Caenorhabditis elegans: one gene and its partner. The protein of the gene in region 2 purifies or fractionates together with the protein of the main gene of each other region. This does not show direct contact. Each region holds a gene or a part of one and is shown on either strand. Other genes may lie near its edges.

Region 1 (7,520 bases), about 11 Mb from region 2:
ACGGATGACTATATTTAACGCAAAATGATTCAAAAAATGCTGTTTCTTTTTAACAAAACTATCAAAAATGAAGCAAAGCTATATCTTAAATGTACGAAATTGGGTTCTGTTAGGAAAATAAGAAGTTTGAATGAATTTAGCATAATTTTACCCTGTGGACACTTTAATCTTCATCAACGCTTGTTTTAGCTGTTCAGCAGTCATTGTATCCATTTGCCTTATCACTTTTTTCACGTATTCTGGTTCCACCATTGATTTTAAAGGCTCAACACGTTCGGAGGGTAAAAGTTGCTGTTCACGTGGAATATCGATTGATTTTTCAGATTCGTCGGTTCTGGTTTCAGCCGATTCCACTTCAACTGCTGTTTTTTCTGGTTCGTCATTCTGTTTTGCGTTACTTGCATCGAATTCTTGGCTGATTTTCAGCAAATCTCGTAGACTTTCCAGATATTTTTCGTCTTCTGGAGACGGCTCATCTGCGCTCATTTTTTAACTGAAATTTTAGAAAAACAATGTAAATTCGAATGCGCCTAGATTCTATGTATCGGAGAATATAATTTTTCTTTGGAATTATCACCAATTTCAATGTTACAAATCTAAATAATTAAACAAAAAATTGGTAAGTACAATTAATTTATGGGAGAATTGTGTTAAAGCCCATAGGATTAGTGATGACCCGCAATGTGAATTACAATTTCTGAGTAAGAAAACAGATGGAAGGGGATACATTCATAGGGAATTGCTATTTTTCACCCGGCAAAATATACATATATACGTGGAAAATCGGGAAGTTGAGAGCTATAATATGAATATACAAAATAATCGAACAATAGTTTGTTAAAAAACAAAACACTATACAGAAAGTGAATGATACTTTGAAGAGAAAACTTAAAACATTGAAATTATCTGAAAATTGGAGGGTCAGTAAGAAGAAAATCTTCTAAAAGTTTTGTTTTAGGTTTACAAATAAATAGCTTGATCAAAATTCGAATCCGAGAAGCTGTTTTCGGAAAAATGAGCAATTCTTGGGATTTTATCCTCTGGATGTAGCTCCGGGCACGTTTCACGACGCTCGATTTGCTGAAAAATTAACATTTTAATCACATAATAAAAAATAAAAAAGATTACTCACCACACGATGATTAGCTTCCAAATGTAGAAGCACATGATTGCGGGTCTTCTGAGTGTCTTTGCCAGTTTCTTTCACCATTTGTTCTCGAGTTTTCAGGGCTTTTGGATTTTTAGAAGAACCATTCGATTCTTCTACAACGTGCCCGAATCGCTCAAACGCTTCACCAAGAGTGTGTTCAAGATCGACTTCCTCTGCATTCGCTTGAACTCGTTGAAAATCCTCCGACTGCTCCAGTAACGCAATCTGTGCTTTAAAAACTTCGGCCTGTCCGGTTACATAATCAGCAAAGGAATTGTCCGATGGTACTTTGAATTGCTTCATAAACTCTTGTAATACACCTTGTCCATTAAGCAACTGGTCAACGAAGGCTTTTGCCTCTTGTTCAGCTATTTTCACTTCCTGAAAGTTAAATATTGAAAATACATTCAACATTTCCCGATAGTTTTTGATCTTACTAGGAGTTCTTATTTTTGGTGATCAGAGAGTTATGGGTCGAATGTTATATTTTCTGGAAGCTAATAAAACGAGCATATCGAATTCAAAATAAGAAATTTGCCCAAAGTGATGTTAAGGCAATATTTTCGACGTTGAAAGCGTATTTAAGCCAAAAAAGTCGTTGTTTTTGAAGCATGGACTTCAACGATACAAGAAAATAGTCACCTAACAGAATGTTAAGAACAATACGAAAATCATTATTTTAATAACGATAGCTAAATACTCAAAATATTTCTCTAAAAATCTGAATGAAAATTAATATAACTTACCACTGGCAACGAATGAATACGCAGGTTTTCAGCGAGGAAACATTATAATATTGATAATATAGAAATATAATTAGAAACTATAGCAATAGGAATAATTATTAGAAAAATTACACCTAGGAAGGTGAGTAGATTGAGGGGTCCCGCATATAATATAAAAAGTTCACTTTCAATTCCAAAATTTAAAATTTCAAACCAAATTCACCGAATCAGTGTGATAATCCTGACGCAGCATGTTACCGGCCGTATTTGGATGGTATGATTCATGGAATAGATGTTCGAGTGGTTCAAAACCAGCTATTGACTCTACGGTTTTGTGTTCACACGATTCTTCTTCCGGATTTTCGAAATCAACGCCGACGACTGGAAATCTTCGCACATTATCCGGTAGCCTCGCAGGAGGAAGTTCGTCTTCAGTTGCCGGCTTCACCTTGTCGGATTGTGAAGCTTCCGTTTTCTTGATAGTTCCGGGAGCACTTGATCCTGAAGTACTGGGTCCAGTATTTTCAATTCCTTTAGCTGCTTTCTCTGCGTCTATTTTTTCCTGTTCTTTAATGTAATGCTCTGGTGAGTGGAAGAACGGTTGCCCATTTTCATCAACATCATCGGTATCAGCTGGAATGTAGAAATGTTTCTTGATCAGAGGACAGCTGAAAATAGAAAAATATATTTATTTATTTTTTTCTCGAAAAACTCATTACTATCTGAATTTTCTTGGATAACGGCTTCGAGATGTACTGCGTTGCTTGTAGAAATATCGGCAATATCGATTAAGAACGGCAATATTTCTGTGCTCGAAAAAATCGCTAACAAGGTTCTCACTGCAGGCTCCATTATACTTTCCATCATTGCTTGAATATCGAACCGACGGAGGGTAATGCATTTCAGCACCTTTGGATCCGAACGCACACGGTTCAGGTCGCCATTTTGGATTCATTTGAGTCAACGCTTGAAGCCTCCGTGTCGATTCATTATGGAATGCCAGATTGCCGAACACTTCGCTCTTTTCCATCATTTTTGAATCACGAGTATCTACACAACGAAGAACAACGTGAAGTTTCATTCCGTTGTTAAGATCTTTACTCTTCAATGCTCGATCCATTTCATAAACTGGAAATGTGAGAACATGTTCCTCAGCTTTATATGGTATCTCAAATGGACCACCGACTCCTCGAATATCTCCACTTTTTCCTGATTCCGTGTATGATTTGTCTCCCATTGGCAGCTTACGATCATTATAGTCATCCTTGACGATACCTTTTTCATGCTTTTCGTGAAGAATCTTGCTGATCGTGTATCGAGGACTGAAAATGTTTGTATTTTGTACTCGCATAAATACGTAAAATACTCAAAAATTCGATCATTAACTAGTTTCGTATAAATTTGTGTAAATTTAAGCAGAGGAAGGTATTTACAATTTTTGTTGAAAAAGTAGGTTTATGATTAATTATTTTTATTTTCAACAATTCAATAATCAAGAAATCAGAATCTGTAGTTTTTTTTGAAATAAAGTTGACGAATATTGGCCTATTTTTCAATGGCTTTTTAAATCACGTTGAAACTGACGTATTTGAATTCAAAAAGAAAAATAAATTGGAGCCAACGAAGTGCTAAATCGACATATGACAGTGTTAGGTTCACACTGACATTATTCTGTTTCACTAGTCAGATTAGATTTAGCAGCCTTATCTCCACGATTTTTCGACAGAATATTACATTTTAATTTCAAAACTGTGGTAGAACACCCTATAAGTTGATTAAAACTTCAAAACTTACGGAATCATGCCATAATTGGTATAATTTTCCATTGCTTGTTCCTCCGTAATATGTTTTTCCAGTCCAGGAGGATTCACTATTTGCCACGGAGACTCAAATTCATTTCCAGTTTCTGGATCAATTTTTCGCATCGGCGTTTCATTTCTTCGCATTCCATTTTTCCGTCCGATTGATGTATCGTCTCCGATGTACGGCTGAGTTTTGTCTACGTACTCGAAATGTCCACCGTTGAGTCCTCCATCACATGCGAACATTGTATTGAACCAAACATGACCAATCTTCCCGTCCGAAAACTTTTTGAGAAATCCGATTTCGCGAATGTCTATACGAACATCTCCTTCGACAAATACTGGAGCATCTTCTGGCACCATAAAACAGTATGCTCTCTTGGAAACAAATCCATGATATTTTTGCTCTCCGGTGTCGAATTCGTTAGGCGTATCACAGTTGTTCAGCCACGTCGCACGCTCTCGCTGATGATTTGATTTGGAGATTATGAGAGGATCCGGCTTAAATAAAATTGTCGAGCCATTTCCAACCTCCACTTTTATCTTTGAACCACCACCCCATGTCTTTGGAGGCCGTTCCACGTAGACACCAATCAACTGCATTCTCAATGGTAAATAGTTGAGCTCACGTTCACGAAGCTTATGGTAGTAGTAAATGTAGCGTCGTTGTGATGGAATTGTGACACCTTTGTTGTTTTTTGTACGAATTATTGAGTAGTAGTCGAGAATTTGTCGTGGGCTCGGATAGAAGTTGATGTAGATGAGAAGAGCACATATCATCACTCCGGTACGGCCTTTTCCAGCTTTACAGTGTACAGCTATTACATGTTTATCGTCTGCTTCAAGCCATTCCTTAGCCTGCAAAACAGATAATTAATAAAGCTCTTATGATTTAAAGGAAGACTAACGGGTCGGACAATTTTGAACTTATAGACCCCAAAATTAGCTCCAATGGACACACATTTTTTATGGCGGTTAAACAACCAAAAAAAAAACTGATTTTTACCTAAAATCTCCAATTTTGTTCACTTTTCCGTGTCTAATCTGCCCGAAATTGACTTTGAATTATCATCCTTTATTACATATTTTGGTAGTTTATCTAATTTAATTTCGTTGACTAAGGTACATTTAAAGCCTGTAGGTAGCAAATTTTGATGATTTTTGGGTCAATATGGGTTTTAAATGTATCTTAATCGACGAAATTACATGATATAAACTACCAAAATATGCAATATAGGGCGAGAATTCAAAAAAGTCAACATCGGCCAGATGCGACACGGAAAAGTGGCCAAAATTCGAGATTTCAGCTAAAATCGGTGTCATTTTTTCGAAATTGTGAACCGCCATAACAGTTTGCGAAGTTTTATTACGAAATTCGTTCATTTGAGCTCATTTTGGGCCTGTGTTAGTCCTCCTTCAATAGAGTCCTCATGATTTAAAATTTCAGGGCAATCACGTTCATTCGGAAATTTTAGAGCCACAGAAGTGATGAAAAATAACCTCTCTGCAAAACGGAGCCATTAATTCGAGACTCGGCGGATGATGATCAGTCATATCGAAGCAAATAACATTTCCATCGAAGTTATCCGCATCGTAGTAGTATCCACCGCGCAGGTTAAACACCTTCACGTTGCCCTTTCCGTGCCGCCTGGTCAGAAATTGTTGAGTTTGAACTTTTGAGTTACGGAAATTCGCTTCGATTCCTGTTGCTGGATAACCGATAGCTATGATTCGGTCTGTGATATCTGAAAGTTTTGAAAATTGAAATGCTTTGAACTCAAGAGAAGTGCCTTACATGCACAATCTAGGTCGATATTTTGGTACTCGGTGCGACAACGATTGGAAGATACAGCCGTCCGAAAAATATGGCGAATCCGCTCGACGATTGAATTGTGATACGGTTCAGACACACGTGGTTCACCAGGTTGTCGGTTTGGATTCTCTTGAAGGTCACGAGCCATCGACCTGGTCGATGTGCTTGGCACATCTGGAGGAGGAGTAACCATTGGGGGTTAGTAGATGTACCTGGAAACTGCAAATTCATGAAGAGGAACGAATTAGAAGAGAATTTCAGCGAATTTTATAATTTAAACATTGTCAGGTGAAGTGTGATAGAATAGAATGCCAAATGAGCGCAAAGGATTAAGGGATTAACTAGCTCATGCTAAAGCTCAGATTTGTTCACGCAGAGAGCTCAGACCCGAGAGATACGAGAGGAGCAGAAAGACAGACTACATTTCCTCGTTAAGAATGAGCTGAAAAAGAGCTAGAAATCCGTTGAAAATCGCCAATATGCGTATTTTCGACTTAAAAAAAACAAGACTGATTTATTAGAAAATAATACCCGCCAGCGCCAATAGTAGAAGATCATATGAAATCATTTGATCAAAAAAGCAAAATTTTGGTCTACTGATTTATGAGCATTTTCAACCAAGAAATAGGAAGATTTCGGATATTTTTATAACCTACGTGTGGAAAATGTTTATTTGTATTGAAAAATCAAGAAAAAATGAATAAAAATTGTCGAAAAAGCAGATAAACACCGAAAAAGATCGGTTTCGCGGCGAAAAAACAAAATCCAAAAAATGTCTCTTAAAGGCGCACGCTAATTCAAACGGCACGGGTCTCGCCACGAACGCCTCTCTTCTCACTGCATTTTTCTCTTCTCTTCGATTTTTTTTTCGATATTTTTTAACGTTTTCCAATAGTTTTTATTGATTTTCTTGTTTAAAAACTGGCAAAAAACGAAATAATCGTTATTTATAAGTTGTATTTAGAGTCTAAAGTTTGTATAGTGCGATGAAATTCTTCGAAATAGGCGAAAATCAATTTCTTGTGATTTTCTTAATTTTCTCATATTTAGAAAATTGAAATTTCTGTGAATATTATGTACAAGAAAACCCCTTTTTGTTTTGCAATACCAATTTTTTCTATTGAATTTCTCAACAAATATATTTTTATGTCCAGTTTGATTTTATTTTGCACTTGAATAACTTTAAAGTTCAAAAATTGTTTGACATTTCAGAAATGAGTTTCCGTGGTGGACGTGGAGGCGGTGGTGGATTTCGAGGTGGTCGTGGTGGCGGTGGAGGCGGTGGATTCCGTGGAGGTCGCGGCGGTGACAGAGGTGGTGGCTTCCGTGGAGGACGCGGTGGATTCGGAGGGGGCGGCCGTGGAGGTTACGATCAGGGACCACCAGAGGAAGTTGTGCTCGTCGGTGTCTTCTCCCATCAGTGCCAAGATGATATTGTTTGCAACAATACGAGTGGAAAAATCCCATATTTCAATGCTCCAATTTACTTCAAGAATAAGGAACAAGTCGGAAAAATCGACGAGATTTTTGGATCCCCCGGGGAGAACGTAAGTAATCTCTTAATTGAAAATTAATCATAAATTTATTCGCTGCAGGGATTCTCCGTCACATTGTCACAAGGAGTAAAAGCCTCTTCATTCGAACCAGAGTCTCAGCTGTACATTGATCCCGGAAAGCTTTTACCAGTTGATCGTTTCCTTCCACAAGCCGGCGGAGGGCGTGGAAGAGGTGGTCGCGGACGCGGTGGGGATCGTGGAGGACGTGGCAGTGACCGTGGAGGTCGTGGAGGCTTTGGAAGAGGCGGCGGCGGTGGATTCAGAGGCGGGGATCGCGGAGGTTTTGGCGGTGGTCGTGGAGGATTCCGAGGCGGAGACCGTGGAGGGTTCCGTGGTGGCCGTGGAGGAGACTTCGGAGGTCGCGGACGTGGAGACTTCAAACGATCATACGATGGTGGAAGTTTCGGAGGACAGAATAATAAGAGAACTAAATTCGAATAATTGTTTCTTCTCTAAAAAACTGTATGTTCCAAT
Region 2 (4,882 bases):
GACCGTCTGGAAATGGCTAGAAAAGCACTCAAACATACATTGTGATAGCAAATCGGGTTGACCTTATAGTAGTTGATAAGCTCATCAATAGTCGGAAACTTGAATCGCCGCTCAATATAAAACGAGGTCCATTTGCCGGCGGTTTCTTCAATAAACAAATGCATATCCATGTTCTCTTTCTTCACATCCTCCAGATCCCCATAGAAACTTCGTGTGGTGCCGGTTTTTTGTGCTGAATAGGGAACATAATTGTAAAATCTAGAGTTTTTCAACGAACAGTGAGGGCAAGTTCCCCGCAACAGCTTGACAACTTATGAGAAGTTCATTGAATAAGTTTCCAAGCTGCTAGGAAGTTAAAAAAACAAAAAATAAAACAAACTGATATTGACGGACAGAACAAGAATGACACGAGTCAGTGGAATCGGATCAGTGGCACTTTTGTCCGGAGTCGTCGGCTTCTTCGCATTCTTCTCTGGTTGATGCGACAATCTCAGGAGAAAGTCTCCGTTCGTCTTCAACAAGATCAGTTGTAGCTCTTGGAGCACAAAACCATGGAAAAATTGGTATCTCAATAAATAATTGTCAATCATTTCATTAGTTACTCTGGAAATTAAAAAGTGTTTTGGGATATTTGGGATAAAGTTGCTCACCTTCCAACGCTTTTAGTTTTTTCTACATTTTGATACATTGAGTCGTCCGGAAAATTGATCATAACTGAGTTTGAAATACTGCTGCCATCTGTTGTCCTTTCAGTCTTTTCGGTCGTTTCACTCTTACATTCTTTTTTCTCAGATTTCTGAAAATTGAAAATTACATTTTACTATACCAGGAATACCGAATTTGTCTTTTTTTTAAATAATCATACTACAGGCGACCCATTGCAGGAAACTTATTCTAGAATTTCTGATGTCTTATTTTATTTTCAGGTAGACGCGTAGCCAGGTACAGGCAGGCTCGAACTCCCGCACTCCAACTCACCTTCATTGCAAAAATTTTACGACGATTTTGAGTAAAATTATATTGGGAAATAAATAAGTTTGCCTCGTCGTATTTGTTTTTTTTTTCAATTTTTTTCACGGGAGTTTATGTATTTAAACATACAGACAGTGATACAACTCAAATTCAGAAAACTTCCAGGAATCAAACTTCATCTGAAGGATTAACGGTTAAACCAAATTTTCCTGACAACAAAGTGCAAAGTCACTGCTCGACAGTTAGGAACAACTTCCTACTCCTGCCATAATTTAGCATCTTCCTATCAAACCTTTCATCAGCGGCAAGCAGGCAGGCGAGCACGTCTGAAAAATTCATGTCTACTATCGAACCCCTTAGAAAATATATTCATTTTTTGCAATTCACAGGATGTCAAAATATTGAAAATTGTTGCTTATAGAGTGGAAAAAAGGAGATTATTATAATAGCTGGTCTCAAATGTCAACGGCAGAAGTATTTAACTAGATTAATATTTTCAAGTTTCATGTTTTCGGATATGTCACCATTCACCATACACTTTACCATTATCTAAATCTAGAAATGTTACAGTAATCCATGAGCACACAAAATCAGAAAACGAAGAGCAACCTTGTGATGAGCTGGAAAAAGGGGATTAGTAGAGGTGAATGTTGAGAACAGGAAAGAAAGAGAGAGTGAGAGGATCAGAAATACTTTCAATTTATTTATAATTTTATTCACATCACAAATCTCTCTCCACTCAACTGCCCATAGTGATTGATAAGCTCCGGCGTTTCGCCTACTCAACGTTTCCCTCCAAAAACTCCAATCTAACTTTTTATTTTTGTTTCTAGCCAATCTTTTTTTTTTTCTATAGTTTCAGAATCAAATGCTCAATTTTGGAGTCGTTATGTATCAAAAGAAGAGCCCAAGTAATGCAACAGAAAAGTGAGTTCTGAGTGTATCTTACCAAACCGAAAAAAGTAAAAATGCAACCTATAAAACAAGATATTATCTCTCTCATTGCAATAGAAATCTCCCCCTAAAAAAAATCTCTTTGCACATGTCTCTGTCAGTTCTTTTTATGTTTTGCGTGCATAGAATTGCCGATTGTCGGATGATTTTCTTCTTCGTTCGATGAAAGCGGAAATAATAGAGAACAGCGTTTTATTGTGGTTTTTTGTTTTTTCGTGTCAAAGTTTCTGTAAAAGTCATGATGGTAGAATTTGTTCTAACTGTTTTATTCTTTTATTTTTAACTTTCAATTTAATTATAAATCAATTGCATATTATTGTCCATGTAATTAAGCTTTTAAGTTATCAAGAATAAGTTGAAAATTTTATTTGCAAATATTTTTTATGTCGAATTTCGATGCAGATAATGTTTTTTTTTTCCAAAACCGCTAAAATTATTTCAATATTCTTTATTTTTTTTCTATAGTTAAAGAAAAATTTTTTTAGAAAATTAACAAAAAAACTAAAAAATTACCAAAAGTTGTTCATTTTGATGAGAAAAAACATGAAATGTTTTCTCTGAAAAAAAAGGAAAATGGTCAAAATGTTAATATATTTTTGCAAAAATCGAATTGTTTTCGAAATATCTGAAAAACTAAAATTTTTCGGAAACGGTTTTTCTATAATACGCTTTGTATGCCAGGATACATTAAATAGAGAAAAATTGAGACAAAGTCCAATTACTGAAAGTGTAACATTTTTCTTTAAATTATGATCTAGGATAGTTTGTTAATGAAGCGATATTGCTTCTTGTATGCATACCTATGTATGTATGTCATTTCCGAAGTATTATAATATGTATCCTAATCAAGAACATGGATCATAAACATCTTTATTTTTATTATTTTATCTTTATTTTTCAACTCGATGTAAATTAAAAATCTTCACTAGTAGCCAGTAGCTCGACTTTGCAAATGCGTTCGTTTTAGATTTCGTCTTGTTTCCGATTGGCCCGGTTATTACGTAAGCACCTAAATTTTAATGTTATTGCATCTCATCACTACTTAAAAATGAGTCAAGTTTTTGAAATAGAAATACGAGCTTCATTGTGAAGATCACGATATTCTTTTTATTCGAATAAATCTGGTTGCATAGCTGTAGTACGTCAACGGACGAACCTGGATGAAATAGTGAATAAATATATTTTCTATAAAAAGGAGAAAATAAAAGAAATGTTATAGTTGACAGTTAATCCTTTGCATGGTGAATCTGTTGGCGGATGCCAGTTAATCTCCCTGTTTATCCGTATGCTCATATTTTTAAGTCGTCTTCAGTCGTTGTCGTTCTAAAAAATTTGGCCATCGATTGGCTCAGCTTCGTCTTTTTTGCCTCCTTTCACTTCTTCTTTTCTTGTCCGATTTCAGAAAAATTAAGATAATAAATTGCTTCAAATTTTGAAGTGCAATACACTTTCGCAGTCTAAATGCCTCTTGTTTTCTAAAAGTTATGCCAATTATTTATTCTTTAAAAATATTGGACTTACTGCCATGGAAGTCATATAGTTTCGCTACAAAAGTAGTACCTGTTCTGTGGTTTGGGTATTTTTCGAATTAAAATTTTTCCAAACTCAACTTTTTTGTGCAATTCTAAATGTATTTTTATGAGTATTCTTTTTTCTCCCTCTCCTATGTACATCCGCCAGCAGATGCTTGTTGAATTCTTATCGAAAGCTCTTTATCAGAACTTATTTTGAAAAAAATGTCAAGCATTCTCCGAGCATAGGTTTAAAATATTTCTGAAACACAGGTACATTTAACCAATCTCTCAGTTGAAAAGGTTACAATTTTCAGTATCAAATAAAAAAGTATAACACAATAATCTTTTGCACTTGACTCGCGTCATTTATCTGATCAACATGGCTTCATGCTCGGAGAATGTTCTTCTTTCTGCCAAAATGACTCACTGGAAATACTTTGAACATTATCAATGAAATTCAAAATAAAAATCAAAGAATAAGACTTTAAACTTTGAAAATTAGGACTTAAAAATTGTTGTAGAAATGCACCTAGCTCTTCAAATTTTGTTTGCCACTTTTTTACTGAAAATTGATGGCAACATACTTGAATTCTTTGATTTTTTCTCTACTAAAGGAAAACAAAAATCTTTGAAACTTTAAAATCAATGGTTTGTGTTAACTGAATTTGGTTCACCGATAGAACGATTGTTGTAAATCAAGGAGGTTAAAAAATTGAAATATCGATTAGTCATTGATTTTGAAAATTCAAAGCTTCCAGACAGAATGCCTCTTTGAAATACCCTTTGAACTATCAAGCTTCCTCCTCTTCCTCCTCTAAAAATAACGTGAATAAATTGTTCGAAGAGTATGGAATCATCTCATTTCCGATTCATATTCGTTTCCGCTATCAAACAATTTAACAATTTAATATGATATTCAGAGATGAATAAAATGCATTTTCTGCTCGAATGCCTTTTTTAGCTCGAATAAGTTTCTTCTTGCGTATCAGTTGGCAGGTGCAATGCTCAATTTTAATTTTAAGAAAAGTTTACATCAGCAAGCCCTACTTTCTCATTCTCTCCTTTTTAATTTTGTTTCTTTTGTTGTCTTGAAAGAAATTCAAACCCTTAAAGTATAAAATTGAATCAATTGGGTGTTCTTCTAATTGTCTCGTTCATTCAAATATCACTATGCATTAGGGAATGTCATATCAAATTGAATGATGAAAGTAGATTAGAAAGAGAAAAGAGAACATCCATTTAAGTATTCAAGTTAGCTTTTTGATTTTTCTAGATTTTTATGAACTAAAAATTGAGAATATTTACACTTGGCTGAGAACCACGGCGCGAGGAGATCGTTGAAGAGGCTGAAAGAAGCGACATCGCCCAAATATGAGGAGGAATGGCGTCTTCCGTTGAATTTTAGGAATTAGAATTTTTATGAGTATCATCAAGTTAGTTTT

What was found. The genes of interacting proteins can lie anywhere in the genome.
Region 1: the proteins of kin-4 (region 2) and daf-18 purify together in Caenorhabditis elegans (affinity purification with western blotting, with the first as the bait; one study listed by BioGRID). This does not show direct contact.

What each region holds. Positions count from the first base shown.
Region 1 is NC_003282.8:419,466-426,985, forward strand, and holds daf-18 (Phosphatidylinositol 3,4,5-trisphosphate 3-phosphatase and dual-specificity protein phosphatase daf-18), read right to left. Parts: upstream 5,713-7,520; 5' UTR 5,684-5,712; coding exon 5,473-5,683; intron 5,423-5,472; coding exon 5,178-5,422; intron 4,536-5,177; coding exon 3,670-4,535; intron 3,198-3,669; coding exon 2,595-3,197; intron 2,544-2,594; coding exon 2,099-2,543; intron 1,532-2,098; coding exon 1,133-1,531; intron 1,081-1,132; coding exon 961-1,080; 3' UTR 546-960; downstream 1-545. Other genes in the region: 3'-5' exonuclease eri-1, read right to left, coding at 152-486; garr-1 (putative H/ACA ribonucleoprotein complex subunit 1-like protein), read left to right, coding at 6,705-7,037, 7,086-7,487. UniProt on the Caenorhabditis elegans protein: Acts as a dual-specificity protein phosphatase, dephosphorylating tyrosine-, serine- and threonine-phosphorylated proteins.
Region 2 is NC_003282.8:11,423,902-11,428,783, forward strand, and holds the start of kin-4 (non-specific serine/threonine protein kinase), read left to right. Parts: upstream 1-1,840; coding exon 1,841-1,899; intron 1,900-2,232; exon of another isoform or gene 2,233-2,253; intron 2,254-4,882. Other genes in the region: F22B3.8 (Tyrosine-protein kinase), read right to left, coding at 39-232, 380-603, 651-796, 979-984.